2 linked regions of the Lytechinus pictus genome follow. Each later gene encodes a partner of the first gene's protein in a complex. Links are inferred from orthologs where the notes say so. Each region holds a gene or a part of one and is shown on either strand. Other genes may lie near its edges. The genes, in order: RNA transcription, translation and transport factor protein-like; protein archease-like.

Region 1 (16,259 bases):
TTTTTTTTCAAGGATTTTTCGGGCAAGTGAAATAGATTTTTGGGCAAGTATATTCCAACTATTTAGAAATTTACTTGCCCGACTGGGCAAGTGCTTCTAATATTAAAGTTATGTAGCACCCTGCCTGCATGGTTAGCCTATTTCCATAGTCCTACTGGTTTTGTTTTGGTGCAGTCTTTAAAGGTCAAGTCCACCCCAGGAATATCCTGACTTGAATACCGTATAGAGAAAAATCAAACTAGCATAGTGCTGAAAATTAATTCTTGGATCATTGACAATGAGAAAATTAGAATATCTTATGTAATAAAATAAAAAGAAATAGTGAGTGGATGACATCATAGTCTCCTCATTTGCATACCAGCCAGGATGTGCATATAACTGTTTTGTGAAATTAAGCGAAACTTTAAAGTGTCATAACTTTCTTATTCGTTATACATTATACATCCGATTTTGGTGAAATTTTCAGTGTCATGCTTGTTGGATTTATCTCTTTTTATTCCATTTCTTTGCAAATAACTATGGGTGATATCTGTTTGAATGCTAAAAACTTGCTTCTGAATTTTGACACATGTAGCTGACATAGCCTACATACACATACAATGAAACAATGAAAAAATCTCAAATGCCATTTCATTATTAAATCCAGGAGACATATCAATGTTAACGAGAAGAAAAATCAGCACTTAAATGACGCTATTTGAGGGATATTCATGATATTAGGGGGAATTGACTTCACATCGTTCGGTAAATTTCATAGAAGGACCTGATTATAAAACCTCTTCTTAAATTCACGGAAGGGCCATGCAATTGTTGCAATTTTGTATGCGCTGTGCCTTCAATTTTCCTGTACACAGCGGCACGTAATGCAGTATGCACCCACGGGTGACTATTACTAACCTCGCACACAGGACCACGTTGGCAGCATGCAGCTGCGACACCACTTTTTTCAATCACAAAGGCACAACAAACGACTTACATGTAGGTCTTAACCATGTTAACGTTAGTATTACTATTAGTAGTGCTATAGCTCACTCATTATTTCCTTCAACTTGGTCAGAACCCGGCTCGTAAATCTTATCAGAATTAGAGCTCGACCGGAAAGGCCTGGCAACCCGGACCAGCTAAAATTGATTTATGTCCATGCAAAAATACAATGTTTTGACCCTCTTGACTCTTATCTGGTACCGACATCCATCACCTTCTGACCTAGTTTTTAAAAGACCATACTAACCCCCAAAATAATTTATACACTGTTTATATTATCCAGTAGTAATGTAGAGAGGGGATTGAGATGATACAAGGCCAACTTGCAATCCCTCACATGCTTATAAGTGCAGCAGTCAACAGCATGAGTCTGTGCACCGCTAGTATGATTGGTTCTTGCTTACTTACTGCGAAACATATGCTTTGAAATGATAGTTTGTTATGTGTGAGATCGAGAGGCAGTTTACAAACCACATCGTTGATTATGTTGTCATTCTGGTGACCCAATTTCCAAACAGGCTCTCACAGACACTTTTTTTCTCTACCATAGAATAATTTTTTTTTTTGGGGGGGGTGGAGGTGGCAGAAAGAGTTAATTTCTGAGCGTATTTCATTCTTCATATTTGCTTTGAAGCAATAGAATATTTTTTTTGCATGATTTATTTTTAACTGTCTTATTCTAGCTTTCAGCTACCAGTAATATTTTGTGTGTGATATACATGTACATGTAGGCCTATTGATCAAGAATAATCTGAAAAAATGCGCTCTTAGAAAAAGGTGTTTTTCCCCTTAAATAAAAAAAAAAAATTTAAAAAAATTATTTAAAATTAAAATTTGACAATCAAAGTATCAGTCCGATATCATCCTACCTCCATATCATCCATGTAGTCATCTCATCTCTTCATCTGACACGTTTTTTTTTGCACTTGTAACCCCCCCCCCCTCTCTCTCTCTCCCTCTAAGTGCACCCTCCTCTTCTTGTCCATCTCCGTCCACCCTCTTTAATGTCTACTTTAAATGGGCCCCAAATTAAATGTTTTACACCCAGCTGAGCAATTATTTTGGGATCACCGACTTGTGAAATATGGCAACACTACAGGGGGGGGGGGCTTCTATGGGTAGCAGAAAAACTGATAATATACAAGATATCTCAATACACTGAACAGATTTTTTTACAAAAAAAAGAAATATTCTACATGTCATCACAATCATATCAAAAGGAAATCTTCATGATTTATGACCATGCCTAATCTATGGCTAATGGACCGACTGGCCTTTAGTCTTTACCTGTAAACAAATTGGACATTCTCACCCAGTGAATCCATTACTCTCAGCTAATCACATGACCAGTCACATGATATCACATGGCAGCTGCACTGTATGCACACACGTGCCTTAGCCGTCTCAATCTCTCACACACAAGGCCATGACTCATGAGGTCCGATCATACACATAAATCAAAATCATCATGGGGAAAGAATGAAAATAAGGTAGGGGCCTTTGACCTCTATGATGGGGTGACTATAATTTGTGCACATTTTAAAATTTATCATGAAGTTGTTTTTCAATCCAAAATTTCTCAGTTCACAAAAAATTAATCAAAATCATAAATTCCAAACGGAAGGCAAGATTCCAAAGTCAAATTAGCTTGACGGAATTACAAAAGTAGGCCAAGGGTTTCGCCGATATCGCGATCTCAAAATTCCATGACAATCGACTAGTGCGCGCTCGGCTGAAAAAGTGTCATTAAAAAATGTGATCTAAATTTGCGCTAGACCATTTTGCAAAGCTTTAGAAAATAAATCAAACATACAAAGGTAAGATAATTGTATCAGATGGAGGTTAAAATGCCATAAATTTGGTTGGTATAACATTTGACTTACTTATTTGGATACCTCTGCTTGCAAACTGGCGATTTCTTGATACTTGTCGAGAAGTTCAGATTTTATCGGAGCGCGTGCAAAAGGTAACAAAATTTGCTGATGTTTTGCCAATAATTTCACAAATTGAGACAGACCTTCCCTTCAAGAAAAGGCCATACTTAGTAATTTTGGATCGTTTTTTCTGTTGGTGATATCAGTTTTTCAATATATCAATTACATATTGAGATATTCGACCGTGCACATAATTAGGTAACGCGCGAATTAAGGTCACGTCACAACACCATACCTATCCCCTCGACCATCACGTCTAGAGTAGGTGGATGGATTAGGTACTTGTTAAAAACAGTTTCATGACATTTATTGCGGTGACAGACGACACCTCAAATATTATCAAACCATCCGTGTTTATTTACCAAGTTCGATGGATTCAATCACAGTGAAACCCAACCCGTAAGTTCCGCTGTTCCGAGCCAGATGTCAACTCGGCATGATTCAGTCCAGTAAACAATCCGAGCTATATTTACAGTCAGCTCCGAGCTACGGCCCGCGAAGCTTCGTGGAATCGTGGGCCGGAGCTCCCTGCCGGCTGCCCTGGGTCAACAGTTAGTATACCCAGTTGTTGTGTGTCCGGACGATCAAATTTAGAAAGTCATTTGGAAAAAATTACAAGCGAAGTTTCATCAATTTTTAGTACAAAACGTTAGGAAATATTATAAAGAACAAAACAGAAGATGATTACAAGTATTGAATTCATATTTTTAGTGTAATCCAAAGACAAAAAAGAAGGCTTCAAAAAGATAAAGTGTCCGGACACCCGACCCCCCATCCTATGGCTTGATTTTTCTGTGCGCGGTGCGGTGGCATGTAATGAACCCTTGAGTGAGCCCTTGGGCTTGGCTAAGTAAAAAGGGCTATTAAGCTAAGCCATGTAAGTAACGTTAAAGGGATGGTCCGGGCTGAAAATATTTATATCTTAATACATAGAGTAGAATTCACTGAGCAAAATGCCGAAAATTTCATCAAAATCAGATAACAAATAATAAGTTATTAAAGTTTAAAATTTAGCAATATTTTGTGAAAACAGTTGTCATGAATATTCATTAGGTGGGCTGATGATGTCACATCTCCACTTTCCGTTTTCTTATGTTATTATGATGGTGGGCCCCAAGTCTGCGCACCTAACAATTTGAGTTAAGATTTAACATGAATTTCTTCTTATTACACAAAATCTTTCAATTAATAATGTTGCTTACATTATTAAGAGTAAGTGTACCAAATTTCTCATTAAAAAATGAAAGAAAATATAGGATTTTCTTGAAAAAACCTCGGGCAGTCATTTTCAGATTGAAAAAAAAAATGATACCCCATGTCTGCGCACGCATTCACTTTGCACACGATTCGGGGATTTTGATGAGAAAGGCTGCATTTTGAGGCCGTCACATGAAATGCCCTAAATTCATTATTTTCCACCATTTTGAGTCGTGTTTTTTTTATGAATACCTGTCTATGTATTGCATGTTTAAAGTTCGTGCTCGTTGCGTATCTTCTTTTATTAGGATCGCGCAGATACGCGTGTGCGCAGACAAGGGGGACTGCGCAGACTTGGGGGAACTTGCCATACATAAAATCATAATTTTTTCATTATTTCATACTTGTGTGAATAATATGTCTCCCTATTTATAATGAAATAAGTTGCAGCAATAAATATATAATGCACTCAATCAGTTGTCAATCCAATTTGTCTAGTTCTTGGAGGAAAAAATTTGAATAAACTTAATTTCATATAATAAAATACAAAACTCAAAAGAACAAGTGGAGATGTGACATCATCAGCCCACCTAATGAATATTCATGATGACTGTCATGACTGTCAGTGTCAGACTGTTTTCACAAAATATTGCTAAACTTAAAATTTAAAAATAAAAATTCAATAACTTTGTTATTTGTTATCCGATTTTGATGAAATTTTCTACATTTTGCTCAGTGAATTCGACTCTATTTATTAAGCTATACATACTTTTAGCCCAGACAATCCCTTTAAAATGGCTTCGGCCTTTCGGCCTATACCGGAGTCGAGTGCTTCCATCGGGAAGCGATGGTTATCGCCCCCAACGAAAGAGGCGTAAGTTAAAGGCAACGTTCGCTAGCTCGACCAAGGCCGAGTGCGGCGAAAAGGGTGTCATTTTCAATCGATTTAAAACTCCTCGCAATCGTTAGAAAATACGTGATTTTCGAGAAAAAATATTTGAATTGTTAACAAATATACTGAAATATGAAATGACGACATCCATATCATACCTTCGCTGTAGAATTCCTAATAATACGAATATTATCCTTGAACCTGGCCCCCGAAAGTGGAAAAACGTAGATTTGGTGGATGACAAAATACGGAACCCATTAATGAACTATCGATGAGGGCGCGTCTACATTTCTCAGGAGCCAGCTGTCGGCTGCTATGCTGCATCAGCTCAGCTCAGCAAATAAAAGTTTGCTTTTTTATTTCTAATTTTTTTTTACTTAGGATGAATACACTGCTTGTTAATCTGTCATTTACTCAATCAATTTAACACCCTTGACCACAGTACCATTTGGGGTCACTACCCCCACGTCGCCCCCCCCCCCCCCGACAAGGAATTGCCTGTACAAATTATAGTCCCCCGCTTTTCAATAATGAATTGATTTTTTTAAGGACAAAGTACCGGTATACAAAGAACATGACTTTTTGTTTTAGAATTAGCAGTGGCGTACAGATAAGGGCCTTGGGGTGCTTGCCCCCCCCCCCCCGAAAAAAAAAAATCACCGGCCACCAAGAAAAAAGAAAAAAAAGAAAAGAGAAAATGGTCAAATATGATTTATATATTTTTAATGTTGTAATAAAGATGTCAAAACTTTTGCTCGCTCACTTCGCTCGGTCGCAATTTTTTGTGAATTTTGCCCAATATGCCATATCTCACCCCTCAAAAACTTTTGGCTCATTATGCCACTGAGAATTAGCGTATAGGCCCTATTAAACCCAAGTTCATTCGTGACGGAAAAGTTTTGTTTTACTTACTAAGGATACTTAGGGATTTATTTTTGTGCGTGTGCTGTTAACGATTGAAATGACATCTATCTTAATTTGTGAGGCATGATATCACCCACCTTATATTTTGTGGGAGTTCAATCATGTTCTGTTAATATTTGCTTGATTTTGCAGGTCCGACTGGTCGCTATGCAGGGACAAAACTGGATTCGAATCTATATGGAAACGTGAATTATCTGAAAATAAGTGGAAGTGCCTGGGCAATTTTGGTCAATGTCACTCCACAAAATCAAACTTATCTGTGGATATTTCGTTTCGAGAGGGAGGGAGGGGGGAGTTGGGTCAGTTTTAATCAGATTGATAAAACTATGCCTATGCCTATATAGGGCCTATAATTTTTTATGCCTAATGATTGCTAATAAACATGATAAAGATGATGCAAGGACTCGAAATTTCAAAATAAAAATGACGAAATGATTTTAGCCTTAAATACCAGAAATGAATTTCCTATGTCTTGTCGCTCTAACAATAATGACCAGTAGCTTGCTATTGTAGTTTTTGCACTGATAGTGTATGTATATTCAGTCCCCGGATACTGTCAGTTTTGGAGATGTGCATATGGTATAGAAACGAGTGGTATTGACCCGAACACGCCTGTCCTGGGCACCAGGGGACACCCGGACTGCATAGAAGTTATTATTTTGTTAATTTACCATGCAATTGTATTTTTCACCAGGGTCGGATCCAGGATTTTCCAAAGGGGGGGGGGCAATTTTTTCGGAGGAAAAGCAGTACCCGAAAAAAAAGTCTTCACCTCTATTTTAATGGAATTTTTACATAAATTTTTTTTTAATTTGCTTCTCAAAGGGGGGGGGGGCACGTGCCCCCTGTACCCCCTGGATCCGCGCCTTTTTTCATGGAATCCTTGATTTTGATTAACTATTGAGTATGGACCCGGAGTATGGAATCCATTTAGTTACCATGGGATAGCAAAATTGCCATAAACGTCCGAATGAAATAGTGAAAACACTTCTATCGGGATTATTTTGATTATCCAAAATGAATAATCGTGGTATGGAAGTTTATTTTTTTTAACCAGGTGAAACAATATATACACAACAAAAAAGGTAAGTCCCCCCTTGAACAAACATCAATAATTTCCGAACCAATGCGAGTTTTTGATATATTTTTACATGAGCGTGTATAATTTTATAAGCTACCCTCTGAGTAAATGTTATGGACGTATTTTACGTCATGCTTCAGTGAGCACCGTCAGAAGGCAAAAATGTCACTTTTCAAACGTCACAAGCCAAAAATCATGACTCATTTCCATTTTATTGGAACTGATTCCACATTCTCATCTTGAAATATTGTCAGAAGGCTTGTAAAAGGTACTTTCTAAAAGACGATACAATATTTTGGCTAAATTTCACGGTTGAATAAACACAAGTCCAAATTTGCTATAATTGGATTTTTTACACATTTTCATCAATAAAAATGATAGAATGTGATGACAGTAATTTTTGGGAAGAGTATCTTCAACACTATTCATCGTTTCACGGTTAAAATGAACATTTATTGAAAACAAAAAATACGATTTTCAAATATAATAGGCAAGTATTGTTTCATTTTGGTAACTGAAACTGATCTTTTATCAACTTTTTTCATGACCAATTAACATGCTTTAATGATTCATAGGCGTTTAATTAAACATTCACGCTTGAATGAACATGTGGAATGTGATTAGCTCTTTTTTACGTTATTGGAAAAAATGCAATTTGTAACGATGGATATCTGTCACAAACCTGGTTCATTTGATTAGATTTTCATGAAAATCCCGATGTTTAATCCATCAGTGAGCACACAATATAAAAAAATTATGCAAATGAGAAGAAAGTTCAAAGCCTTGGCCCCACTCTGTGCCGTATCGAATTGTTATTGTGGTGTGCGCGCCTGTTGGATAGTGTTACTCTGAAGCGATGTGCGAAGTTTCATGAAATAACTGTTAGCAGAAGTAACAAAAACCGTCCATGAAACAAACCCCTTATTTCATATTTGTTAAGATTTTGACTTCCTCTCTCATAGACTTGTGTACATTATGGGTGCATATGTTTAAGAATAAGTAACCCCTTATTTAATATGGTGGAACTTTTTTTCAAGGCTGTCTTTAGCAATGTCATTTGGCAGTAATGTTTATCAACCTATGGGTAGAATTCTGTGCAAAAATGAAATCGATTTGTTTATTTACGGATGAGTGAGCACGCATCAAAGTGGCAAAATGGGTATTTTCAATGTCACAGACTCATTTTAAAGGGTAATAAGGTGAATATTGGGGGGCAAATTCGGTTTCAAATGTGACTTTAATTGCTGTTGTTTTTATCATCCATCATTTCTATCACCACACACTTTCCGAACTTTTAACATTTTTCATGGTTGAGCGAGCACATTCGAAAACTTAGGAATGAATACTCTTTATACTGCATAAATGTATTCTTTTCGTAACAATTTCTCATGATCAGTTTAATTTATGGACAAATCAGTGGTGGATCCAGAATTTAAAAATGGGGGAGGGGGCTATAATCGGGGGAGCCACCAACATTTTTAAATTTTAATATGACCTAACAAGTTGTAGAGGATACTACCAAAAACCCCTATAATGATACGTCACAATACAGGGGCCGCGGAACGGTTTTCAAAGTGTGGGGGGGGGGGTGCGCTGACCATGCATAAAATCACAATCGTATGGTCATTTTTACATTTTTGTACATGCTTTTGGAAAAAAAAGTGGGCCCCCACCCCGCTTCCGCGGCCCCTGCGGTATTGTGCTCACTCAACCATGAACATACGATATCAAAATTGTGTGTGGAGTGGCGAAGTGATGGATAGTAAAACAGCATAACACCATAAAATTCACCTAAAAACAACTTTTGCCCAACTTCGTATTTGCACAATCTGAAAAACGACCCTTGTCACTTTCAAAAATGGTCACCTACGAGATATCATATCTCAAAATAACTCCGTTCAAAAGTTACAGCAATTTGATTTAGGGGGGACTTACTTTTTTTGTTGTGTATAGATGAATGGAGGTCGGCTATTACATCAAATTAATTACTTAATTCAATTCAATTTTTTACGGTCATTTTTATTCAAACACAATACAAAGTAGGCCCTAATAAATCAAATACAAATATAAGGACGGACATCAAAGAACAGCAGATAACATAATTATGAAAATCAAACTACTATACTGCATAATATATGTGCATACATTTAGGCCGATGTTTGAAGTCAATATTGGAAGGATTGGTGGGTTACTCCGGTCCAGTACTGCAGGCCTACAGCTCGCTCCTTGACACTTACATATATATTTTTGGAGATGATATATCCTTTTCTTTATCAAAACGTGCTTTGTTCAATTTTGCTGGTTGAAATATTCAAAATTTGGCTAGCTCTTCGCGCTCACAGGCGGGCCCTATCCATCCGAGAGGCATGATACATAAAGTGCTCAGAAAGTAAAGTTTTCAGGTCTGATCAAATATAGTTTTAAGCCTGTGCTTCGCGCTCGCATTTCGATTGGCGAGATAATTTATCCTCTTCAATAAGTACTGAGGCCAACTGAGGCCCCTTTTTAGCTCAGCTTTGAGCTCGCATAATTTAGACAAAATGAGATACCGCGTTTGTAAGAACAAAATATTTTGTACTTTGATCTCCAGTCTTTAGTAAAACAAAAAATGAAAAAATAAACAAAATTAGCAAACAACAAAATCAACTTTTAGCACCCGATCGGGGAAAATGAGGGTGAAAATCCCCCCCATTGACGAAAGCTGGATCCGCCCGGACGCCCCTGGAGTATAGTATGTTACCATGTTGGGTAGAGTAGAGCCACTGATCTGTATTCTGGGGAGCGTTTCATGAAAGGACTTGTCGGACGTTTTATCCGACAAGTCCCATTTTATCCGACAGTTACCATAGTAACAGTACCTCTCAGCCAATCAACATCAGAGAAAGATGTCAGATCTGACAACTTGTCGGATGAAAATGTTGATGAAACACTCCCCAGATCTGTGAGTAGTATGTCATAGAGATATTGCGTTTTTAGATTGGAGTAGAGCAAAGGAAAGTAAATAAACGTAAAGTAAAGTAAAGATGCAAAAATCAAGCAAGTAGTAGGTAATACAGTGAAATGTCAATTTTTTTTAGCATAGGGAGGTCAGTCGATGACACGACCCAACGATTGACTAATTTTTGACTGGGGGAAAAAAGAGAAAATTCCCAATTGTAAAAAAAGAAAGAAAAAAAGAAATCCGACAATATTTTGTCGCAAGCTGGCGCTCGACCGATGAAATCGTCAACGCGAGTTACGAGTGCAGTGCTGTCGATTCAGTCATAAGAAGTCATACAATTATTTACTTTTACCAACCTGTTTTAATCCATATTCTGTCATTTTCACTTTTAATATGTTTAGGAGAAAGCTGCAAGCGCTGAACTATCCGCAGCCGGATTGCAATGTTTGTGGTAATTATTCTGATTCGCTTGATAAATGTCTCAATGATATTAAAAACCCTTTTTCTATCTCGGTCCCACATGTGAAAAGTTTTGTTGGATATTGACAATGTTATACAAATAATGCATGCAGCCGAGTGCGTTAGTGGAAATGCAGAGGATGCGAGGTTTCTTTAGTCTTTTTTTAGATAGGTGCTGCACTATGCACGAGCCGCTGAGGGGGAGTGCCCAGTGTGCACCACCTGAAGAAACCAAGCTTTTTCTGCATTTACTTTTATGCACGACAGATCAAAGTGCATTATTTGTTTTATAAAATAGCAACACAAACATGACAAACAAATTCTTAAAAAGTTTCAGAATTCAGTAGGATGGGGGGGGGGGGGGGGGGGGTCGGGTGTCTGGACACTTTATATTTTTCAAGCCTTCTTTTTTGTCTTTGGATTAGGGCCTACACTAAAAATATGATTTCAATAATAGTTGTAATCATCTTCCATTTTGTTCTGTATAATTATAATAATATTTCCTAACATTTTGTACTAAAAATTGATGAAACTGCTTTTAAATTTTTCCAAATGACTTTCTAAAATTGATCGTCCGGACACACAACCTGTCCGCTGTCCGGACACACAACTGGGTATACAATTTTGTTGGACTTCTACCGCACTAGTCTGCTTGAGCGTGCAATGTCAATTTTCGTTGCGCACCTTTTGCACTGCCGTGCAGTGCACAAAAAAAGTTGGATGTCATGTGACGCATATTGGCCAATCACGATGCTTGAAATAATACACCTATTTTATAACATCAAATAATTGCATTGCCAATATAAATTGCCTCAAGTGGCGTGGTTTGGCTTGCCCTGCCTTAGCCGGCCCTGAGGACTTCGTGATGATATTTTCTAATAGTTTGACATATACTTATTCACTACGAAGCCTTGAAACCCTTGCCATAGGCACATAAATTTGTTTGATTTTATTTATCTACACTGTATAGTATGCCTAATGGCTAATGCGTATGAAGGTGCAAAAAAACAGAATAAATGTGAAAAATTAGAGGTTTCTTACCAGACCGATCTCGTGTAGATCCCTCGATTCATTCGTAAACACCGCACAAGAATAGGCTTGACCCTTGAACATGTTGAACCGCTTCGTTTCGACGTAGCTTCGATAAGCGGTGTGACAAAATGCCGTTTTGAAAAACAATTTATAGATAAAAATTATTATTTAACAAATAAAAAAATTTGAAAGTTGATTATAATAATTATTATTACAATAGTAATTATTTATAATCAAGTTTCCAATTTTATTATTTTTGATAAATAATAATTTTTATCTCTTTTTTTCTCTCTTTTCCACCTTGACTGACAGATGAGAATAAATGGCGGAATCTAGTTGAATGGCTAGAAGATCAGAAGGTTCGCTTGTATAAGATTGAAGATAGAGCTGCTCTAAGGAACAAGAGCAGCACGCAGTGGCCAAAAGCATTCATTAAAGTAAGACCATTAGTCTTGATTGACATTTGTCAACATAATACAATAAATTCATTCTATGTAATTTCAGTTGAGAGTAGTTATTCACACAGTGCCTTGTTTATGACTCCTAACTATAAAGATCAGTAAATATTTGTAAAAGTATGATGATGATGGGGATGAAGATGATGAAGGAGATGATGATGACAATGATGAAGATGATCGTAATGATGATGCTAATGAAGCTGATCCAATCGATGATGACGATGATGATGGTGATGATGATGATGACAGTGACGAAGATGATAGTAATGATGATGCTAATGAAGTTGATCTGATTGATGATGATCATCATTATCATCATTATCAAACACCAACAACACTCAACAATATTTATTATGATGATGATAATGGTGGTGATGATAATGATTGATGATGATTATTAATACTAATACCAATTATTATAATGATGATAATGACTAGGCGATAGTATCAACAACTGCAACTCTGACAATGAAAATCTTCCTTGTTTACTTTTCTTTACTGTACCTCTACATTTTCTTTTCAGTATATCCAAGACTTACAATGTCCATTGGATGGCAGTGATAGATTGGCAGTGTGTGATTGGATTCTTGGTCATGCCGTTCGATTGGAGTATGGAGAAAAGGGTAACACAAATTCCTCTCTAAATGATGAAAATAAACGTATCAATTAGACTGGGTGGGTGTTTTGTAAAGCCATTACCCACAGTGACACAACATGTGCTCCTGGAACACTTGTCTTAATATTTCAGATTAGAGTAAGGTTAGGTTAGAGTTAGGATTGTAACAGAGTTTTTGGTTCAGAATAATGTAACAATAAGGATTAGGGTTTATTTGGTTTTTTGAGGTTAGGTTTTATGTTTTGCTTAACGTGCAGAATTTCCATCGGAGCAATTGATGCAGGAGCAAATGTCAAATTTGAATATTAACATACCATTTTCACAACTCACGACCGTAATGATGCACAAAACAGCTTGGATTAGAAGGTTTAAGAATTGGGTCAGTGCATCAATCCCCTATGGGAAGGCATTAATCCTCAATACCAGGTCCCTTGAATAGGACTTAAAGACAATGGTCTCTTAGTTGCTTGTACACTGGCCTTGATTGTATCTGAGCTGTCTTGAGAAATTAACAATTTTACTGGATGTTTATTTTTATCTTACAGCACAAATTTATAAAGGAATAGGAGCACCATCTAAGACTCCTTCAGGAACTATGGCGGAAGACCCCTTTGCAAGTATTGATGGTAAAAATCAAGAACTATTAAGTGATAGGCTATGATTGGTTGAAATCAATATCGATTGTAGAAAACTAGCACTGTCTCAGTGCCGTTTCTCAGAAATGCGCGCTGCTCGGGGCACAGGTGTGAATCCAGCTTGTAATCCAGATTGTAATGCACAAATATTACACCCCCTGAAATTGTATTGTATCTAACCCAGCTTGACCCGCTACCATTGGGGGGGGGGGGAACCCTGACTTGCTTTTCATAGAGGAGATTGAGTTTGATCAATCACAACTGTCTTTATAGAACCTAAAGACTTTTATGAAGTACATATTTCTTTTTACCATTTTGTTTCTTCATCAGTAGATGAACCCATACTTTACTTTTCCTTTTCATGCCCCTGCAGACGAAGTCCGGAGGGGGCATTAAGCGTTGCCCCTGTCCGTCCTTCCGTCCGTCCCCCACTTGGTTTCCGCGCAATAACTCAAAAATATTTAATGGATTAAAAAAAAAATTTGGTGTGTAGGTAGATGACACCAAAATACAGGCTAAGTTTGAATTCGGAGTCCGCAGGTCAAAGGTCATAGCTCATTAAATATGCGAATTGGTTTCCGCGCAATAACTCGAAAAATATTTAATTGATTTTAAAAAATTTGGGTGTGTAGGTAGATGACACCAAAAACAGGCTAAGTTCGAATTCGGAGTCTGCAGGTCAAAGGTCACAGCTCATAATATATATAAAAGTTGGTTCAAAGGTCTAAATTTGTTCATTATATATATGCATATTGGTTTCTGCTCGATATTAAGTTCAATCATATTGAATGAATTTCTGACCGCGTTAAGCGGGGGCATCTGTGTCTTTTGGACACGCCAAATTTCTAGTCTTAAATGGATACTCCAAACTGAAAATGATATAACTTTAATTTTCAGACGAACACAAAACACTGAAAACTTCATTTTGAACGGCTGTGTTCAGATTGTGCACATGAGCGAGTAATGAATGAGAGCAACCATGTTTTATTTCCTACAGTTTCTAGTCCAAATGTGAAGGTGGGCCTGGTATCCTTGTGTTCACTACTCAAGATTCCCAGACACGTGGATCCTATTGTGACTTTGGAAGCCATTGCTCTTCTCATCAAAGACAGACTCTCCGATGATGCACAGGAAGGGGTACTTGAAGAGGTATTAGACAGATTTCCAGTGATTGAACTGTAACATAAGAATGTCATTTTCTATTTATGCACAAAAATATGTACAGACAATCATGTAAATGACTAGGCCTGAATTCAGGAAGGTGAATTCACTTAACCCATGGGTTAAATTTTGTCCTTTGACATCATGGATTAAATTTAATCCCTGGAGTGTTACTTAACCCATCTTTTGTGAAGTGATCATTGATTTATAACTCACACGGTTAGTTGACCCATTATTTAGCTTGGGTTAACTATAATCCACAGGGTAAGTTACCCCAGTTAAATTAGTTCAGGTCAAAAAAATTTAACACACCTTTGTGAATTTGGGTATTAGATTTGAGTGGTTCTTATAAATTGAACTGATTTGAATGTACCATTCTCTTTCAACATACTCACACAAGTCCTTGTGCAGTCATGTAAGGAAACTTCCAGTTTGTCAAAGTTTAATTTACAAATATGTGTGGAATGTGACACCTGAATTTAAGTCATAATTGACATTGTATATATTTCCCCTATTTTGTTCCATCTCAAAGCTTTTCATGATGTATTCTCACAATTGACTGAAGTTAGCAACAGAAATATTTGCTAATGGTTGAAATATAGCTTTAGATTGTATGGATTGATAACTAATTTGAGTTCATCATGGAGGTAAATTGCCAAATTGTCTACTGCCAACTCGTCCACTCACCACATGGTCTACATTCATTTAGTCTAATTCCATTCCATCCATCAATATTTCATCTAACAACCATTTGAGCCAATAACCATTTGGTCCAATAACCATTTGGTCCAATCGTCAATTCGTCTAATCACCATTTCGTCTATGACCATTTCGTCTCATAACCAGTTGGTCTGATATCCATTTTATTTTTATTAATTTTGCACAATTAACACTTAGTCCAATTAGACCAAGTGGTATATGGCTATTGGACCAACTGGTTATTCAACGAAATAGTGAGTGGACGAATTGGCAAGTAGACTATGTGGATAGTGGACGAACCACATGGTCTACATTCATTTAGTCTAATACCATTCCGTCTATCAACATTTCGTCTGACAACCATTTGGTCCAATCATCAATTTGTCTAATCACCATTTCGTCTATGACCATTTTGTCTCATAATCAGTTGGTCTAGTATCCATTTTATTTTCATTCATTTTGCACAATTAACACTTAGTCCATTTAGACCAAATGGTATATGGATTAAATGGCTATTGGACCAACTGGTTATTAGACGATATGATGAGTGGACGAACTAATGGTAGACCAAATGATAGTAGACGAGTTGGCAATTGGACGAATTGGCATTAGACCAATTGGAAATAAACCATGAATATGCTTCAGTACTTTGATGAGATCAAAGCGAAAACACAAAGGTGGTTTTGAAAACCCACGGTTGAGTCCATGGTTTATGCAGATTTCCTGTATAAATTATGCTTATTTTACCGCGTATATTAGAAAATGTCCAATGCTGTTGCGCGCTTTTGACACAGTGCGCCATGGCTAAGTACGCTATTTTATTAATGAGTCCACTGTTTTGAATTAATGAGTTCACTCTTCAAACAGTGGACTCATGAATAAAATAGCGTATCTAACCATGGTAACGGGTATCAAATTGGCGCACTGTGACAAAAGCGCGCATCAGCATTGGAATTTTTTATACACGCGTTTGATACGTGCTAAATTAAGCGTAATTTATACAGGAAATCTGCATAAACCATGGATTCAACCATGGGTTTTCAAAACCACCTTTGTGAATTCGGGTCAAAGAGGTTCCATGATGTCTGATGAGACTGGTATTAATTAAGGTGCTACATTTTTGTGATTGAAATTTGGCAAAATTCAGAGTTAAATTTAATCAATGCTGAGAAAAAGTGCATGTTTGCTGATATGTTACTATGGTATACGCTCCTTATTCCAAAAGAAGCAGATTGAATGTACTAAG
Region 2 (16,641 bases), on another chromosome or scaffold:
TCGCGTTACAAGCGGTGTGTTTCTACAGAAAATTGTTTAAAGGGGAATGAAACCCTTGAAACCAGCTGAATCCATATCAAAGAGAAAAGTCAAAGAAACACATTGTTGAAAGTTTGAGGAAGATTGAATGAATAATAAGAAAGTTATGAGCATTTGAATATTGAGATCACTAATGCCATGTAGTTCCTCCCATTGGCAATGCGACCAAGATCTATGATGTCACACACGTACAACTCCCTCATTACTTTAGTACTTATTTCACTTATATTCTCACTATTATAGAGTCTATCACAAGGTGAGACAGGTTCTCTTTATGAGAGGACAAGTACAGAGGTTTCACAACATTATATCATTGATGAATCGTTTGTCATATGATTAGAATGAGCAAAAAGAGATGTTTTGGGGTATATTTTCAGTGTCCAAAAGGGGAGAGTTGTTCATCTGTGACATCATAGATCTTGGTCGCATTGCCAATGGGAGGATCTCCATAGCATTAGTGATCTCGACATTCAAATGCTCATAACTCTTCTATTGCTAGTCCTATTTTACTCAAACTTTTGTTGATCTTATTCTTTGATTTTTCTGCTTTCACAAAAGCTAACTTGCTCCAAGAGTTTCATTCTCCTTTAACAAGAAAATTTCCCTATAACTGACGCGATGCGATTTATTGACAAACTGCATAGCGCCAAATACAGTTTCTCATAACCACCTCTGGGAGGTGGTCATTGCTAATCTTAGTTATTGCCGTATTAATCTGTTTATTTGCAACGCGGAATCTGAGTTAATCGGATTATTCGCTCTGTAGAAACAAGTTGGTTTAAGGGCGAAATGGTTTTTTTATTCCGGAAAAGATAAACCGATTTAACGATTCTCTGTAGAAACACGCCAAAAGACTTAAGAAGGGTAAGATGAAAACACGTCACTGTGATCTTGACCTTTAGCCTCAAAATCAATAGGCTTCCTGGGATCTATGCCAGTATCATACACACTAAATTACATGTACATGAGCCTAGGTTAAGTTAAACTGAAATTATTGTGTTTGCAAGGTTTTCAGAAGGGTAAGATGAAAACATATCACTGTGAACTTGACCTTTTGACCTAAAAATCAATAGGCTTCCTGGGATCCATGATATGAGCCTATATAAGTTAAAGGAATGGTCCGGGCTGTAAATATTCATATCTAAATAAATAAACAAAATTCTCAAAGCAAAATGCTGAAAATTTAATCAAAATTGAATAACAAATAAAGAAATTATTGAATTTTAAAGTTTATCAATATTTTGTGAACATCGTCATGAATATTCATTAGGTGGGCTGATGATGTCATGTCCACACTTTCCTTTTTTTAATGTTATTACATGAAACCATAATTGTTTCATTTTTCCATACATGTGTAAATGATGTGTCTCCATTATGATGAAATAAGTTGCGGCAATAAAAAACTTATGCACTTAATCAGTTGTCAATCCAATTGTTTTAGTTCTTTGTAGAAAAAAAAAAAACACCTAATTTTATATAATAAAATACAAAAGAACAAGTGGGGATAAGACATCATCAGCCCACCTAATGAATATTCATAAAGACATGCCTAGAACTGTTTTACCGGAATAATGCAAATCTTTAAAATTCAATAACTTAAAATTATTTGTCATCTGATTTTGATGAAATTTTCAGCATTTTGATCTGTGAATTTTACTGTATTTATTGAGATATAAATATCTCCAGCCTGGACCATCCCTTTAAACTACAGTTATCGCGTTTACAACTTGGACTTCAGAAGGGTAAGATGAAAACGTGTTACTATGACCTTGACCTTTGACCTGTTCATGTTGACCTCAAAATCGATAGGCTTCCTGGGATCTACGCCAGTATCATACACACTAAATTATATGAGCCTATAGGTCAGGCTTGCTATTTAAAGGAGAATGAAACTCTTGGAGCAAGTTAGCTTTTGTGAAAGCAGAAAAATCAAAGAATAAGATCAACAAAAGTTTGAGTAAAATAGGACTAGCAATAGAAGAGTTATGAGCATTTGAATGTCGAGATCACTAATGCTATGGAGATCCTCCTTTTGGCAATGCGACCAAGATCTATGATGTCACTGATGAACAACTCTCCCCTTTTGGACACTGAAAATATACCCCAAAACATCTCTTTTTGCTCATTCTAATCATATGACAAAATGATTCATCAATGATATAATGTTGTGAAACCTCTGTACTTGTCCTCTCATAAAGAGAACACCTCACCATGTGATAGACTCTATAAAAGTGAGAATATAAGTGAAATAAGTACTAAAGTAATGAGGGAGTTGTACGTGTGTGACATCACAGATCTTGGTCGCATTGCCAATGGGAGGATCTACATGGCATTAGTGATCTCAATATTCAAATGCTCATAACTTTCTTATTATTCATTCAATCTTCCTAAAATTTCCAACAATATGTTTCTTTGATTTTTCTCTTTGATATGGATTCAGCTGGTTTCAAGGGTTTCATTCTCCTTTAAGTTAAACTGAAGTTATCACGTTTTTTTTTTTATCGCGGTTTTCAGAAGGGTAAGATGAAAACATGTCACTATGAACTTGACCTTTTGACCTCAAAATTAATAGGCTTCCTGGGATCCATGCTAGTATCATACACACCAAACTATATGAGAATAGGTTAAGTTAAACTGACGTTATCGCGTTTACAAAGAAAAGTTAACAGATGCCAGACGGACAGATGAACATTAAGCGTGATACCATAATACGTCCCGTAGGCGTAGGATGGGCACATAAAAAGAAAAAGAAGCTACGCGCACTGCAGACAGTGCGCGTAGCTAGCTTGCTTGCCCCCTTTTCGATCCCATAACGCATTGTGGTTCTGATTAGCGATAAAAGTTATTCAGTATTTTGAAAATTATCTTGTGGAGACTGATTAATTACGACTCTATGAGACTATGACCAGACTCTGAGTCTAACTAGCCAGGAGGCTCTTAGAGAGTAAAAATCTTTTCTTTTTTTCCCCTATTGTTCTTCCCCATCGATCAGCGACCGATCGCATGCGATGTTTTGAAATCGGCCGTGAATAATACGTGTGAGGAAAAAGATACTGGCCCAAAATCACCAATTTTGAGGATAACCGGAGGATGGACACGGAGTGAAATACGGGTGTAGAGTAAGATATTAAGTCATTCATATCCCTCGTTATAATTTTTTTCTTTAATTTTTACGATGATTGCCATCCCACCTTTTATGACTCGGAATATCCGATCTAGTTCACTGTCCCGATGTTCGGGTAGGTGGAGCGTAGTGTAGCGGTAGTGAAGTGGAGCCTGCACGAACATCGCCTGAGGTAATCCCATACATGATTAAGGGCTAGATCTTTTAGAAAGTAGAAATCTCGGGGGCGAAAGTTTGAGGTTTTTTGGCGGCACGTGTAGATGAACGCAATCGAATCCCTGGCTCTGTGGAGAGTAAGCATACGTTAGTCAATGATTTTTACTCTCGAAGAGCCTTCTGGCCTGGCTAAGTCTAACCTTAGAATCTACCAGAAATTAGGTATGTTACAAAAGCACCCTCTAGATGCATTCTGAACGAGACATTGAGTGTGCTGCCTATAACCACAGGTTGACTGTAGGGGCATTGCTTTGTATTGTGTTTGCATGTGCAAGAAAAGGTTATTCCCCATGACATCATTGTTTTTACGCAGTTGAATGTCTATGGCAGCTGTCTAGACTTGAAAAAAATCTCCCTCGGTGATCTTGCGACTCTGTGTGCTACTGGAACTTAAGTCTTGCTTTCAACCTCTTGCTATTCTTTACAGGTATCATCCCACTCTAAAAGGTATTCATTCCGATAGAACATTTCAACAACTTTGTGGTGAAATTTGAAAGAAATCTACCGACGCTCAGTGTGTTTTTTATGTCCCTGTTTCGGCGACGTCTGTAATTTTGGGGAGTGTTGTTGTGCACTTCCGTATGCCAATGTATGCGCATTGTTGTTTCCTAGTATGGCAAGTTCCCCCAAGTCTGCGCAGTCCCCCCGTGTCTGCACACACGCGTATCTGCGCGATTCTAGTAAAAGAAGATACGCAACGAGCACGAACTCTACACATGCAATACATAGACAGGTATTCATAAAAAAATCCGACTCAAAATGATGGAAAAATAATGAATTTAGGGCATTTCATGTGAAGGCCTCAAAATGCAGCCTTTCTCATCAAAATCCCCGAATCGTGTGCAAAGTGAATGAGTGCGCAGACATGGGGAACCATTTTTTTTTTCAATCTGAAAATGACAGCCCGAGGTTTTTTCAAGAAAATCCTATATATTCTTTCATTTTTTTTGTGAGAAATTTGGTACACTTACTAATAATAATATAAGGAATATTATTAAGTAAAAGATTTTGTGAAATAAGAAGAAATTCATGTTAAATCTTAACTCAAATTGTTAGGTGCGCAGACTTGGGGCCCACCATCATATTAAAGGAGAATGAAACTCTTGGAGCAAGTTAGCTTTTGTGAAAGCAGAAAAATCAAAGAATAAGATCAACAAAACTTTTAGTAAAATAGGACTAGCAATAAAAGAGTTATGAGCATTTGAATGTCGAGATCACTAATGCTATGGAGATCCTCCCATTGGCAATGCGACCAAGATCTGTGATGTCACACACGTACAACTCTCCCATTTGGACACTGAACATATACCCCAAAACATCTATTTTTGCTCATTCTAATCATATGACAAACGATTCATCAATGATATAATGTTGTGAAACCTCTGTACTTGTCATCTCATAAAGAGAACACCTCACCATGTGATAGACTCTATAAAAGTGAGAATTTAAGTGAAATAAGTACTAAAGTAATGAGGGAGTTGTACGTGTGTGATATCACAGATCTTGGTCGCATTGCCGTTGGGAGGATCTACATGGCACTAGTGATCTCAATATTCGAATGCTCATAACTTTCTTATTATTCATTCAATCTTCCTCAAACTTTCAACAATACGTTTCTTTGATTTTTCTCTTTGATATGGATTCAGCTGGTTTCAAGGGTTTCATTCTCCTTTAATATAGTGCGTCTTGGTCCCAATTAAGGTCCCAACTTTTGTTTTAAAAAACAAAGGAATACAGTCATAAGAATTGGATAGGCGATTTGTACGAACTTAAAACTACCATAACTTTCTTGTTATACTGGGGCTATTGAAATGAATGAGGTATTAAATGAAAGGTCTTGATGAGATCTAAAAACTCATTTCTCAATTATTTTTTTTGTAACATATACGGTACACCCACGCTACAGAAATAGACCCTAAAAGTAAAAGTCCCTGGCCTAGTAGTAGTACTACTACTAGTAGTAACTACTCTAGTTACAATTAAAGTTAAAAAGACAATTGTCTGGATACCATCCAGCAACCCTGGAATTAAGTATTTCTTTTATACAAAAGCTATCACTGCACTTTTTGGAGTGTGCGTTTAAATGTTGGAAATTAAAAGTAGCATGTGGCTTGCAGTGCAGTGCAGCTTCAACCACATGCACATTCACACACCCCACAGACGTCACATTATTCTTCACACACAACTGCACACTGTTAGTCTCGTGTGTGTCCACTCAACATGTGCCAGCTCAAAATAATACAGATAAAATTCGATTGTTAAATTCCATTGCAAAATTTCTTTGGATCTAAAATAGATAGTCATCATGCTTATGCTACAAAGACTTTACATGCTAACTGTCATTACCAAATCTGATCTGGTTCTTAGTTCATCTGACAATTTTGGTGACGTGATGTGAGATTCCCTCGTTTGGTTTGGTCTTGGACTTGGTTTGTTGTTCGCCGATCTACTGAATGTGATTTGCGCAGGCGCGTTCTGTATGGCTAGCCAAAAGGAACAAAATTTGCTCTGATAAAACCAACACGTATAGAAAAAGAAAGAAAAGAATTGAAGTTTAAGTAAAAAAAAAATACACGACGATTCACCTTCAGTGCCTGGTACACAGATGGAGGGAGGGGGAGGGGCGCCCCCCCCCCCCAAAAAAAAAAAAGAGAAAAAAATCACGACCAAGGAAAATAAGAGAAAATTAAGGAAAGAGAGAAAGGTAAATTTTCTGAATATTATGTCAAAATCTATCACAAAATTGGATTTTTGTCAATAAAAATGTTAGGCATTGCTGTGCACGTGACAGTGCTCGCTCAATTGTACATTTTGCCAGATACTGGCCCCCTCAAAATTTGTGGCATAAAGGGCACTCTCTCTCTCTCTCTCTTGTATCCTAGCTAGCTAGCTTCCTCCATTAAGGTCCGACCGTTGATTTCAGCTGAAAGTATTAAACTGAAGATAATTTTTATTGGTTGTTAGAGCTTAAATGTGGTTTAGTATAGGCCTACGTTGTGTGAAGATTGCGGATGAAGTATACATGAAGCTGAGTTTTGCTGGCACTGTTGATGCAAATTTTTTTTTTTAAAGCATATACCCCCTCTAAATAATCATACGTATGTGTCTGAAATGTGGCCAGCCGGCTGATCCAGGGCCGGTGCCTTCTTCAAGGTTCACTCTCCAGCGTGTACGCTTTTTGGGAGAGTATACCTCTTCAAGGGAAGTCCGGCCCGCGTCCCCCATCCCCGCCCCCCCCCCCCTTTGAGAGACATAAACAATATTTGTAAAGGGTATATGTCGTGCAAACGCAAGTGAGGACCCTTATTTTTTTGCTTGCCAAACGTTTCCTGGAAAACAATGATTTCCATTTTGTCAAAGTTTTTCTTATAAATATTTTTGGGAGACGAGTGATCGAAGACCCCCCCCCCCCCTGTTTTGGAAATCTGGATCCGTCCCTACATGTGGAATCAGGGGCTGCAGAACGTATTTTCTTTTAAGTCAAGGCAAAAAAAAAGAAGGAAAAAAACGCACTGTGAGGACCCTTATTTTTTGGGCTTGCCAAACTTTTCCTGGAACAAAATGATTTCCATGCATTTCGTCAATTTTTTTCTTATAAATATTTTTGGGAGTGAAGAACCCCCCACCCCCTCTTCTTGGAAATCTGGATCCGTCCCTACATGTGGAATCAGGGGCGACAGAACGTATTTTCTTCGGGGTCGATCCGGCAAGGCAAAAAAAAAAGCTTGTGTTTAAGAGGCGCGATAGCTCAGTCGGTATATTATATAGAGCGGGGGTTTCGGATTCCGGTGACCCGGGTTCGATTCCCAAGTGGTGCGCTAGTGCCCTTTGGTAAGGCATTTATCCTCATTACCAGGTCCCTCGGAAAGGACCTTAAGCCGTTGGTCCCCTGGTTGCTTGCTCACAGGCATTCTTGCTTTCTTAGCAGTCAGGTAAAAACCTCGGTATAACATAACATAACATGTCAGAAGGGGATTTGGAGTAAAAACAGAGGCATGCATGCATGCACTGTGTTTTCGCCTGAAGTATCTGTGTCTTTCGTGGAGATGTAAGCAAAACGCTTTTTCCATAGGATATTTTTAATAATTGAAATACAAAGTAAAGTATTTATACAAGTTGTATATTCTGAGAGCGAGCGGTTTATGATCAATTTGAAATCTTAACTCGTAGAACTTACTTTGTAGTCTATTCTGGCGCTAATAACAACTCTGTATATTTTGGGTATATCATAGGCCTATAGAATTGTTTCCCTTGAAATGATATAGACTTATATTACGCATGCTTGTTGACAAGAATTTACCCAATAATATAGTATATAGCTAGGCTACTATATGGCCTACGTGCCCTTTCAGGGCTTGAAAAGAAAAGAATTAGAAAGTAAATATTTTACAATATGAAATACATAACAAATAACAGCTCGACTTTTGACAGTAACAAAAAACGCATAGATTCTTTTAAAAAGTGTTACCTCACATAGGCCAGATTATTTTGGAGGCATGTAGGTCGTGACACTTCAAAGAAAAGTCTAACATTCTCTGTTAAAGTTGTTTTTTTAGTTATGTGTATCAGACAGCATATATATATATATTTGTGACTCTATTTATTGTTAGAAATGTTAATATATCATTGTAACTTATGTTCGATAATTTGTAAAAAAATTGTTCATTTTATTTTGATTGTGATCATTTATGTTTGGATTTCAAATCAATAAAAATAAACTTGAAACTTATAATTGTGTCTGGGTTTGTGTGTTTTGTATTGGGACTGTCGTGGGCCGGGGTGTTGAGGCCGCCCATTACGGTAGCCACCTATCCTCTATATACATGGGCCAAAATCCCAGGGGGGACAGGGGGACACGCCCCCTACCATTTGGAAAGGGGGGGGGGACACATTATCAAATGTCCCCCTACTATTTGTGGTCTTTTATGATGGAAAAAATACATCATTTAAAATCAAAATTTGTAATAGAATTTTTTTTCTCCAATTAAGTGTGCCCCCCCCCCCCCATTGAAAGTGATACCCTTTTTTGTGCTTGTCAAATTTATTTTGGACGAAAATACCATACATTTTGGGTGATAATCTTTTTTTTTTGCTTTTCAAATTTTCCGGGGGGAAAGTCCTTCATCTGCGCCTGGTCCCCCCTACCTTTGGGGAGAGATATCCGCCCATGTCTATCCCTGTCTATACAGGGGCCGGGGAAGCTGAAGCCCCCCCCCCCCCACTTTTTTCCAAAACCGTGTACAAAAACGTAAAAATTACCATATGATTTTGTGCATGGTCAGCCCCCCCCCCCTCACTTTGAAAACCATTCCGCGGCCCCTGCTATATTCTACCGGCGTATAAGCCCTATAGATGCAAATCTGTTTAAACAGAAAATATTGTAGTGCAATGAATCTTGTTCAAAATATTGGGACTAAGTGTTCGAGTTTTGTTTGCGTATATATTTGCTTCACTTCCTCGTAAATTTAAGGAAAATTTCAGGAAAGAAGAAATCCTTATGGGATTCTTATTTAATTTTGTTATAAACGGCCGCCCATAGTTTGCCATTGTTATTGCATGTGCAGTCGAGATTGTTGCATAGGGTTGCGAAATTTGGATTTTCACGTCGATCATGAACCCCGGCGCGCGGCCCGAGCACTGGCCCGATTCATCACTAGCACTGTGATGTGCCGTACCCATATTATATTGCTTCAGTAATTGGGCTTAACCAATCCGAAATTAAAACCCAGTAATAGTTAGCGTAGTACCGGTGTTAACATTTTCTCAGCTCTTATGTTACGTTGATGCTGTGGCTGCTGAGAAAAAACAGAAAAACGGTGGTAGTGTAGGAATATAAACGAATAGACGGAATTGTGGAAAACTAAAAAAATTAAAAGACAAAAATAACGATGGAGTCAGATGCCACCACCGCAAAGCTGGAGGAGCGAAAGGAGCTTGAGGACGCCGCCGGAGATACCGGGGCGACTTCGACCCCGGGAGACGCAGATGCTGCTGGATCCGAGTCTGCTGGGCCTGTGGACTTTTCTGAAGAACAACTGCACGTATTTGCTGGTCATCAAAAGGGAAACTATCCTCTATACGCAGATGATAAACCAGCCGGTGGTATAAACTATGAATGTAAGAACCAAAAAATAATTTTATAGTGTTAATTTGGGGATCTGACTTTACTTTACTCTTTAGACTTTACTTTAGTTTAGCTACCGTAGCTCATTACAACAATTACACTCAGTAGGGCACTCGTTCAATCAATTAACAAGGTTATTGCAGTGCTTGTGCGTGACAGAAATTTGGGATGGATCATCCCAGTTTACAGGGACTGTCTCAGTTTTCAAAGATTTCTCCGCACAAGAATTCTAGGAAAGTTCATTCACCTATCAGGTGCCGACACCGATCAAGTGCGCTAGTCACCTAGTGGATGTATTTCACCTCGGGTTTCATTATTACACAAGATTACATTGGAAGATGGCAAGTCATGAAAAATAGACGGTGAACTGGGGGGAACTGCATGAGGTCACTAAATCTCTTTTTATAGCACTCTCAATCCCTGTAATTGCTGTCTCCTTCAGGGGTTAGTGAAAAAAAACTTCCCATAAACAAAGACAATCCCAATTTATCAAGACATGATTTGTCTTGGTCTACAGTATGAGGATTGAGGATATCCTTGTTTTCTGGGACAATCCCAATTTTTGGATCAGCACCTCTACTGTTTGCAAGATTATCCACAACATTACTAAGCTTGCCAAAGCATAGTCATAATAAATTGAGACGTACATGTAAAACAGTAATTTCATGCCTTTAACTCTTTTACCTTTCTCCTCTTGAATATTCTTTTCCCTCTATTTATATCCTCTTCAGTCTTCATTTTATCAATCTATAAAAATGTCCCTTAGCTAGCCAAAGCCTTCAACTGTTTATGTCAGAAATTTTGTGATTGTTCCATAGACCTCTATCACCATAATTATTTTTTTTTCATTTCAGATTTGGATCATACTGCAGATGTCCAGTGAGTGATAATTTGTCTTTTTCATTTTTTTCATGGTCTTTAGTTACAGCAATAATACAGGGCTCCAATTTCTTTTTTTCTTTTTTTCATTTTTGGTTAGTACCGTACTCAGTGGCGGACCGTGACTCGGAGGAGACAAAGCATTGGGGGGGCACAGCATTGTTCACAGACAATGCAGTGCCCCCCCAATGCTTTGTCTCCTCCGGTTCACGGTACGCTACTGACCGTACTGTAAGTTTTCTTTTTCCCTACCATATAAAGGTTAAGAATGCATGCTGTTTAGTTCAAAGCCATGACTGAGTTCAAGTTTTCAGGAGCATTCTGGAAAGATGGGAAATAATTTTTTTTTAAATGTATTCTGAAACCCTATTTATTCAGCTTTTATGTTAAATATTACATGTGTATATGCTATGATATATTTTTTTTAATGCCCCCCCCATCCATTTATTGCCCTCAAATCAATAAAAAATCGAAATCATTTACTTGCTTGCTCCTGAATTTAAGTAGACCTTGCCAGCTTACCTTTATCTTTAAATATGGTTTTGAACTCTTATTTTACTTTCCATTATTTTACTTAAAACTTTTCTTTTATCTTGAACTTTGTGCCATTTCCCCAGATGTTTTCTTAGTCCTTATGTGTACAATAACATTTTTTATGATCAAACTCTATTATCAGTATCAGTCATATTAAAAAAAAGTCCAGTGTTCTAATGTTAATATCTTGTGACATTAAATTAGGGGTAATGTTTATGACAGATCAAAGGTTGGAATTTATTTAGTTCCTTTTCAAGTTGCAATAATTTTGCTCTTTTTTTAATTTCTTTTTTCTTTTGCAGATTACACTCTTGTATCCTTTATCTTATGATCTACTATATTCACCTTATACAAATAATTCATTATAGGCATTGTGATATATATATATGATATGTCTATAAGCCATTCCTGAAATAATTCCATTATAAAATATTCAGGGTAAAGCGAATCATATGATTTTTAAGGATCCCAAATTTTGAAATATATGCCCTGTAATATAATTTTATAATGCAACCCTCTAATATGCAATCACTTATTCTATTAAAATGTGTAAAGTTGGTTTTGATAAAAGCAGAAAAAACATAAGAACCTACTGGTGAAAATTTTGCGAAGTCCAGATCAAAGATTTGGTAGCTCTCTTATTGACCGGATGTCATAAATTCAATAAAATGCCATTTTTCTTAGAAAATTGAAATTGATTTATTTGTGCATTCATGTCATTAGATATGTCATTATATACCCACTAAAGCACATTCAGTCATCATGAATCATAAAAAAATGGAAATTTATTGAATTTATATCATATGACATCTTGGGCTGCTGCTTATACATGTAAATTTCAGAACTCTTCCATAGATTTTTGTCAACCTACACCAATATTTTCGTTATTTTTTCCGTTGAAATTATTAAAACACATTTATCGTCAGGGTTAACTGCTCATTTTTAGAAGCATAACTGCAAGTCTCTGTGAAACTAAAAAAAGAAGAAAAAAGTACAATCAACTGTCAATAATATGCCAATTCTTTGTTATACCACCCCCCCAAAAAAAAATACAATAAATGAAATCAAATGAAGTTTCAATGTTAGCTAGGTGCCTTGCTCCTTGGTTAGGATGGTGCCTGTCATGTATGATTTTTCATGTAATTTAGAAAGAAAAAAAAAGAGGTGAAAAATCAGAAGGGAAAGGGGAAGAGAAAGAACTAAAAAAAGAAAGAAAGAAGATTACTGGAAAGAGGGCATGAGCATGGTCATGGAACTATAGATATATAGTTCCACATTTTTTTTTCAATAAGAAAAAAAAAGAAAGAAGTCCTCAAATTTAGTTCACCTCCCTTCCCCCTATCAGAACCCCCCTGATCATGCAGCCCCCTTGCTGGAAGGGTAGTTTGAGCCTCCTTGTAACTCTGGTTTTGTCTTCCAATACTACTGTACCTGAAAAAAAATATGTGCATGCAGATGTGTGCAATAGTTTGTTTCAAATTTCCTTAGCAGAAATTTGATGCAACAGGGGGTCCAACACTCAAGGATTCATTTGAATCGGTGAGTACTAAAAATTTTTCATGATGCAATTTATCGACATTTATCATTACCACTTCAAAATTTACAATATCTGATAGGTAGTACATGTAGGTCTGAGAGGCCAATGCCTGCAAAATCATAGGAGTCTACTAAGTGAGCATCCATCCTAAATAACAAGTTATTTTTATCAGAAGAAAAAAAATCAGACAGGTACATGGGTGAAAGTTTGGACAAAATCGGACAAAATATGAGAAAGTTATGAATTTTTAAACGTTGTAAAAAATTGGTAATCACTATACCCATGGAGACTTCAAATTGGCCACAATGGTGATGTCATAGTTATGTGAGGCAAGGACTACTCTGCTATTTACTCCAATACATACAATTGTGAAATTGTCGCTTTTTTCAAAAGTTTTATTTCAAACTATATTTTTCTTTCATGAGGCTATCAAACCGTTATGCTTCATTAGTTATATTTGGATTACTGCCCCAGGGGAATGGGTACTTAAGAGGAAACTATAAATCCCTTATAATTAAGAACATGGCCTGTGGGAAAGTTGTCCTTCCCACTTGTCATAATTTACTTAGCCAGTTGCCAATTTGAAATTTACATAGTCTTAGGAATCTCAATTTTAAAACAGTCATAACTTTCTTATTGCTTGTCTGATTTCTTTCAAACTTTCACCATTCTGTTAAACTTATTTTTCTCCTTTCCCACACAACATTTTATGACCAAGGTTGGCTCAGTTGGGCAAGGCTGTGGTGGAGAGGGGGAGGGGGGGGGGCTTAGCACAGACCATGATTGAAATTTCAATCAATAAGTGGGTTTTGAAAGAAGTCTAGCTTAAGGTCGCAAGTGGTGACAAAGCATTAAAATTTTCTATGTACATTGCATGTCCAGACCCACAATTGTAAGGAGCTTGGTCTTGTTTGTAGAACAATGTGCCTTTATCCCACTTCCTACCTGCCCACATTTAAGCATACATTAAACATTGAATGATCTTTCCTCTATTTCGATCTGCCCTTATGCAATATTTGCTCCACTTTGAGACAAATGAGCTTACTGGTTTAGTCTACAAGCTCTGAGTATTCTCAAATTGATTTCAAACTATATGACCCATAGATTAAAGTTTTCCTTCATGTACATGTATGTGTATCTGGTCTTAAGAGTTTGAAGACCATGAGTTTGTTAAACCCTGAATTAAGTGGGAGCAAGCTTGACTCGGGGGGGGGGGGGGAAGCATGTGCCCCCTTTTAGCCCTTCTTATTTTTTTTAATTTTTCTTTTTTTTGTTGGGGGCATGTCCATGAAATGTTACACAAAAATGGTCTCCACAAGTCTTTTTTTTTTTTTTTTTGGGGGGGGGGGGGTAGCTTGTCGATTTTTTTAAAAGTGCCCCCCCCCCCCAATTGATAAATCCTAGATCTACCCCTAAGTGGATGGATAGGAAAAAAGGTTGGTAGAAGTTAGTTTTTACTATTGTGACATACAAAATATACTTTAAATTTTGAGAAATTTAAAACATCGCTGATTTTTTTTCCATTCATTCTGGGGGTGTGGTGTATAGGGGAGGGGGCCTACATGTAGGACAAAAAGTATTGAAAGTTAGGTTGGAAATCAGATCTCAGAAATTTGAATAGGCAGTATTTGGTGCATGGAAATACTGCTCCTTAAATCAGTGAGAGCTGTCAAACAACCAAAATATTATCCCCATCGGACAAAAAGTAATTTTTGTCTCGCCTGCATAGCAGAGCGAGACTATAGGCGCCGCTTTTCCGACGGCGGCGGCGGCGTCAACATCAAATCTTAACCTAAGGTTAAGTTTTTGAAATGACATCATAACTTAGAAAGTATATGGACCTAGTTCATGAAACTTGGGCATAAGGTAAATCAAGTATTGGTGAACATCCTGCTCAAGTTTCAGGTCACATGACCAAGGTCAAAGGTCATTTAGGGTCAATGAACTTTGGTCAAGTTGGGGGTATTTGTTGAATTACTATCATAACTTTGAAAATTTATGGATCTAGTTCATGAAACTTGGATATAAGGTTAATCAAGTATTAGTGAACATCCTTCCTGAGTTTCAGGTCACATGGCCAAGGTCAAAGGTCATTTAGGGTCAATGAACTTTGGCCAAGTTGGGGGTATTTGTTGAATTACCTTCATAACTTTGAAAATTTATGGATCTAGTTCATAAAACTTGGACATAAGAGTAATCGAGTATCACTGAACATCCTGTACGAGTTTCAGGTCACATGACCATGGTCAAAGGTCATTTAAGGTCAATGAACTTTGGCCGTGTTGGGGGTATTTGTTGAATTACCATCCTAACTCTGAAGTTTATGGATCTATTTCATAAAACTTGGGATATAAGACTAATCAAGTATCACTAAATATCCCCTGTGAGTTTCAGGTCACAAAACCAAGGTCAAAGGTCAGATAAGGTCAATAAACTGAGGCCATGTTGGGGTAATTGTTGAATTGCCATCATAACTTTGAAAGTTTATGGATAGAGTGAATGAAATGTGGACATGGGTGTATTTGACAAGTCTTAAGTCACCGTTCAAATGTCATCTATGGTCAATGAACGTGGTATTATGTCATTATATGAATGGTGTTTTTGTGAATGATTATTTTATAGTAGTTTTCAAAGTTAGCACTGCTGCTATATTAAATTGCGTAATGCAGGCGAGACTGCCAGAGGCGTTCCACTTGTTCTTAGTTTCGGGGGCTACTTTTTACTACCTTCTACCTAAATCTGAAACATTGGATAAGCATTATCGTGAATGGGAATTTTCCAGGGGAAGCATACAAACAGGACTAAATAACTCTTCCCTGATCATCGAGATGAATTTGTTTTTGAGATCTAGTTTGTCTGGGCGACTGTTCTCCCATGAATTCTGTATGATAATAGTCTACACTTCTATTGACATAAGCGCGCCCACTCTCTGGCATGCTTTTGTCACATAACAATAAAGGAGTGTTTGTGTTGGAATATGATGCACAATGGAGGATGCGTTTGAAAAACCCAATCGTGGGGGATCACTCCAGGGTGAACTTACTTACATGTATGGGTTTTATATTCAATTGGCCTTCTCATGAATTGGCAATGTGGTCTACATGTAATTGTCATTGGGTCTACCCTATACTTGGTTTAATACCCACATAGACTACTGTAACTCTGATATGCTTTTCACACTGCACTTTTTTTTCTTAAACCCAGGGAAATTGGTGGGGCAAAGGGGGGGGGGGGTCGGGTCTTATCCCCACCAATTTCCCGGGGTTAAGCTTAGCCCACTTCGTTTTCACACTACGTTTTAGCAAAGTGGCTATCACGGTAATTAGTACGGTACCATCTGACCGTGCAAACAAGCAGGGTAAGCCGGCTTATTGTGGTGCTAGCACCACAATTGCAATGCTAAGAGATGCAGTGTGAAACAAAACTGGGCTAAGGAAAAGTGGGGCTAAGCATTAGCCAATCACGTCGAAACTCAAGCCAAAATTGCATGATAATCATGCTTTGTATGGTAAAATCATCAATATTCATGAGCTGTGTGATAGTTTGGGGTTAAGGCATTAACCCTGGCTAAGCAAATAGTATGGGGTTAAGAAAGACAGTGAATCCACGAAAATATAGTATGAGGTTAAGGAAATGCAGTGTGAAAAGCATATAATTCTCATGTAGTCTACATGTACTGTAGTACCGAGTTGGTCTAATTTCCACTTCATTTACTCATAGCCGAAAAAAATACATTTTATTTCACTACACTACACATGTATACATGATCAATTTTTCTGTATAGAGCACATTGTATGCATGATCTATTTTTTGAAGAAATAACCAGTTGTCTCACGATGTATCAAACTATGTTTGATACATCATGAGACAACTGGTTATTCTACTCAATCCTTAACCACGATGAACCTCTTCCATATCATCGATCTATTTTTTTAAGGATTTGTTACTGAGAATTGTTCTTTATTAGATAATTGCCTCAATACCATCAGTCATGAAATGAAATGATTAAAATCTGTACTTTGTTTACAAAATATAATTTTTTTTCTTTTAAGACCACAGTTCTAGCACTTGATTCATTTCTGATCATCATCATCCTCAAAATGTAGTGTATAATGAAATTCTGTGTATATTAACCCTGACAGGTAGTGCAAGCAATGTTTGATTACATGACTGACATCAGATGTGTAG

What was found.
Region 2: RNA transcription, translation and transport factor protein-like (region 1) and protein archease-like share a complex: the UniProt entries of both Homo sapiens proteins name them as parts of the tRNA-splicing ligase complex. The link is inferred for Lytechinus pictus from reciprocal best matches to the Homo sapiens genes RTRAF and ZBTB8OS.

The regions. Positions count from the first base shown.
Region 1 is NC_087251.1:34,070,420-34,086,678, reverse strand, and holds the start of RNA transcription, translation and transport factor protein-like, read left to right. Parts: upstream 1-10,195; 5' UTR 10,196-10,346; coding exon 10,347-10,404; intron 10,405-11,756; coding exon 11,757-11,881; intron 11,882-12,425; coding exon 12,426-12,525; intron 12,526-13,063; coding exon 13,064-13,144; intron 13,145-14,150; coding exon 14,151-14,302; intron 14,303-16,259. UniProt on the Homo sapiens protein: RNA-binding protein involved in modulation of mRNA transcription by Polymerase II. Component of the tRNA-splicing ligase complex and is required for tRNA ligation.
Region 2 is NC_087245.1:38,767,824-38,784,464, reverse strand, and holds the start of protein archease-like, read left to right. Parts: upstream 1-9,177; 5' UTR 9,178-9,267; coding exon 9,268-9,496; intron 9,497-10,357; coding exon 10,358-10,382; intron 10,383-11,218; coding exon 11,219-11,229; intron 11,230-12,423; coding exon 12,424-12,455; intron 12,456-16,595; coding exon 16,596-16,641. UniProt on the Homo sapiens protein: Component of the tRNA-splicing ligase complex required to facilitate the enzymatic turnover of catalytic subunit RTCB. Together with DDX1, acts by facilitating the guanylylation of RTCB, a key intermediate step in tRNA ligation.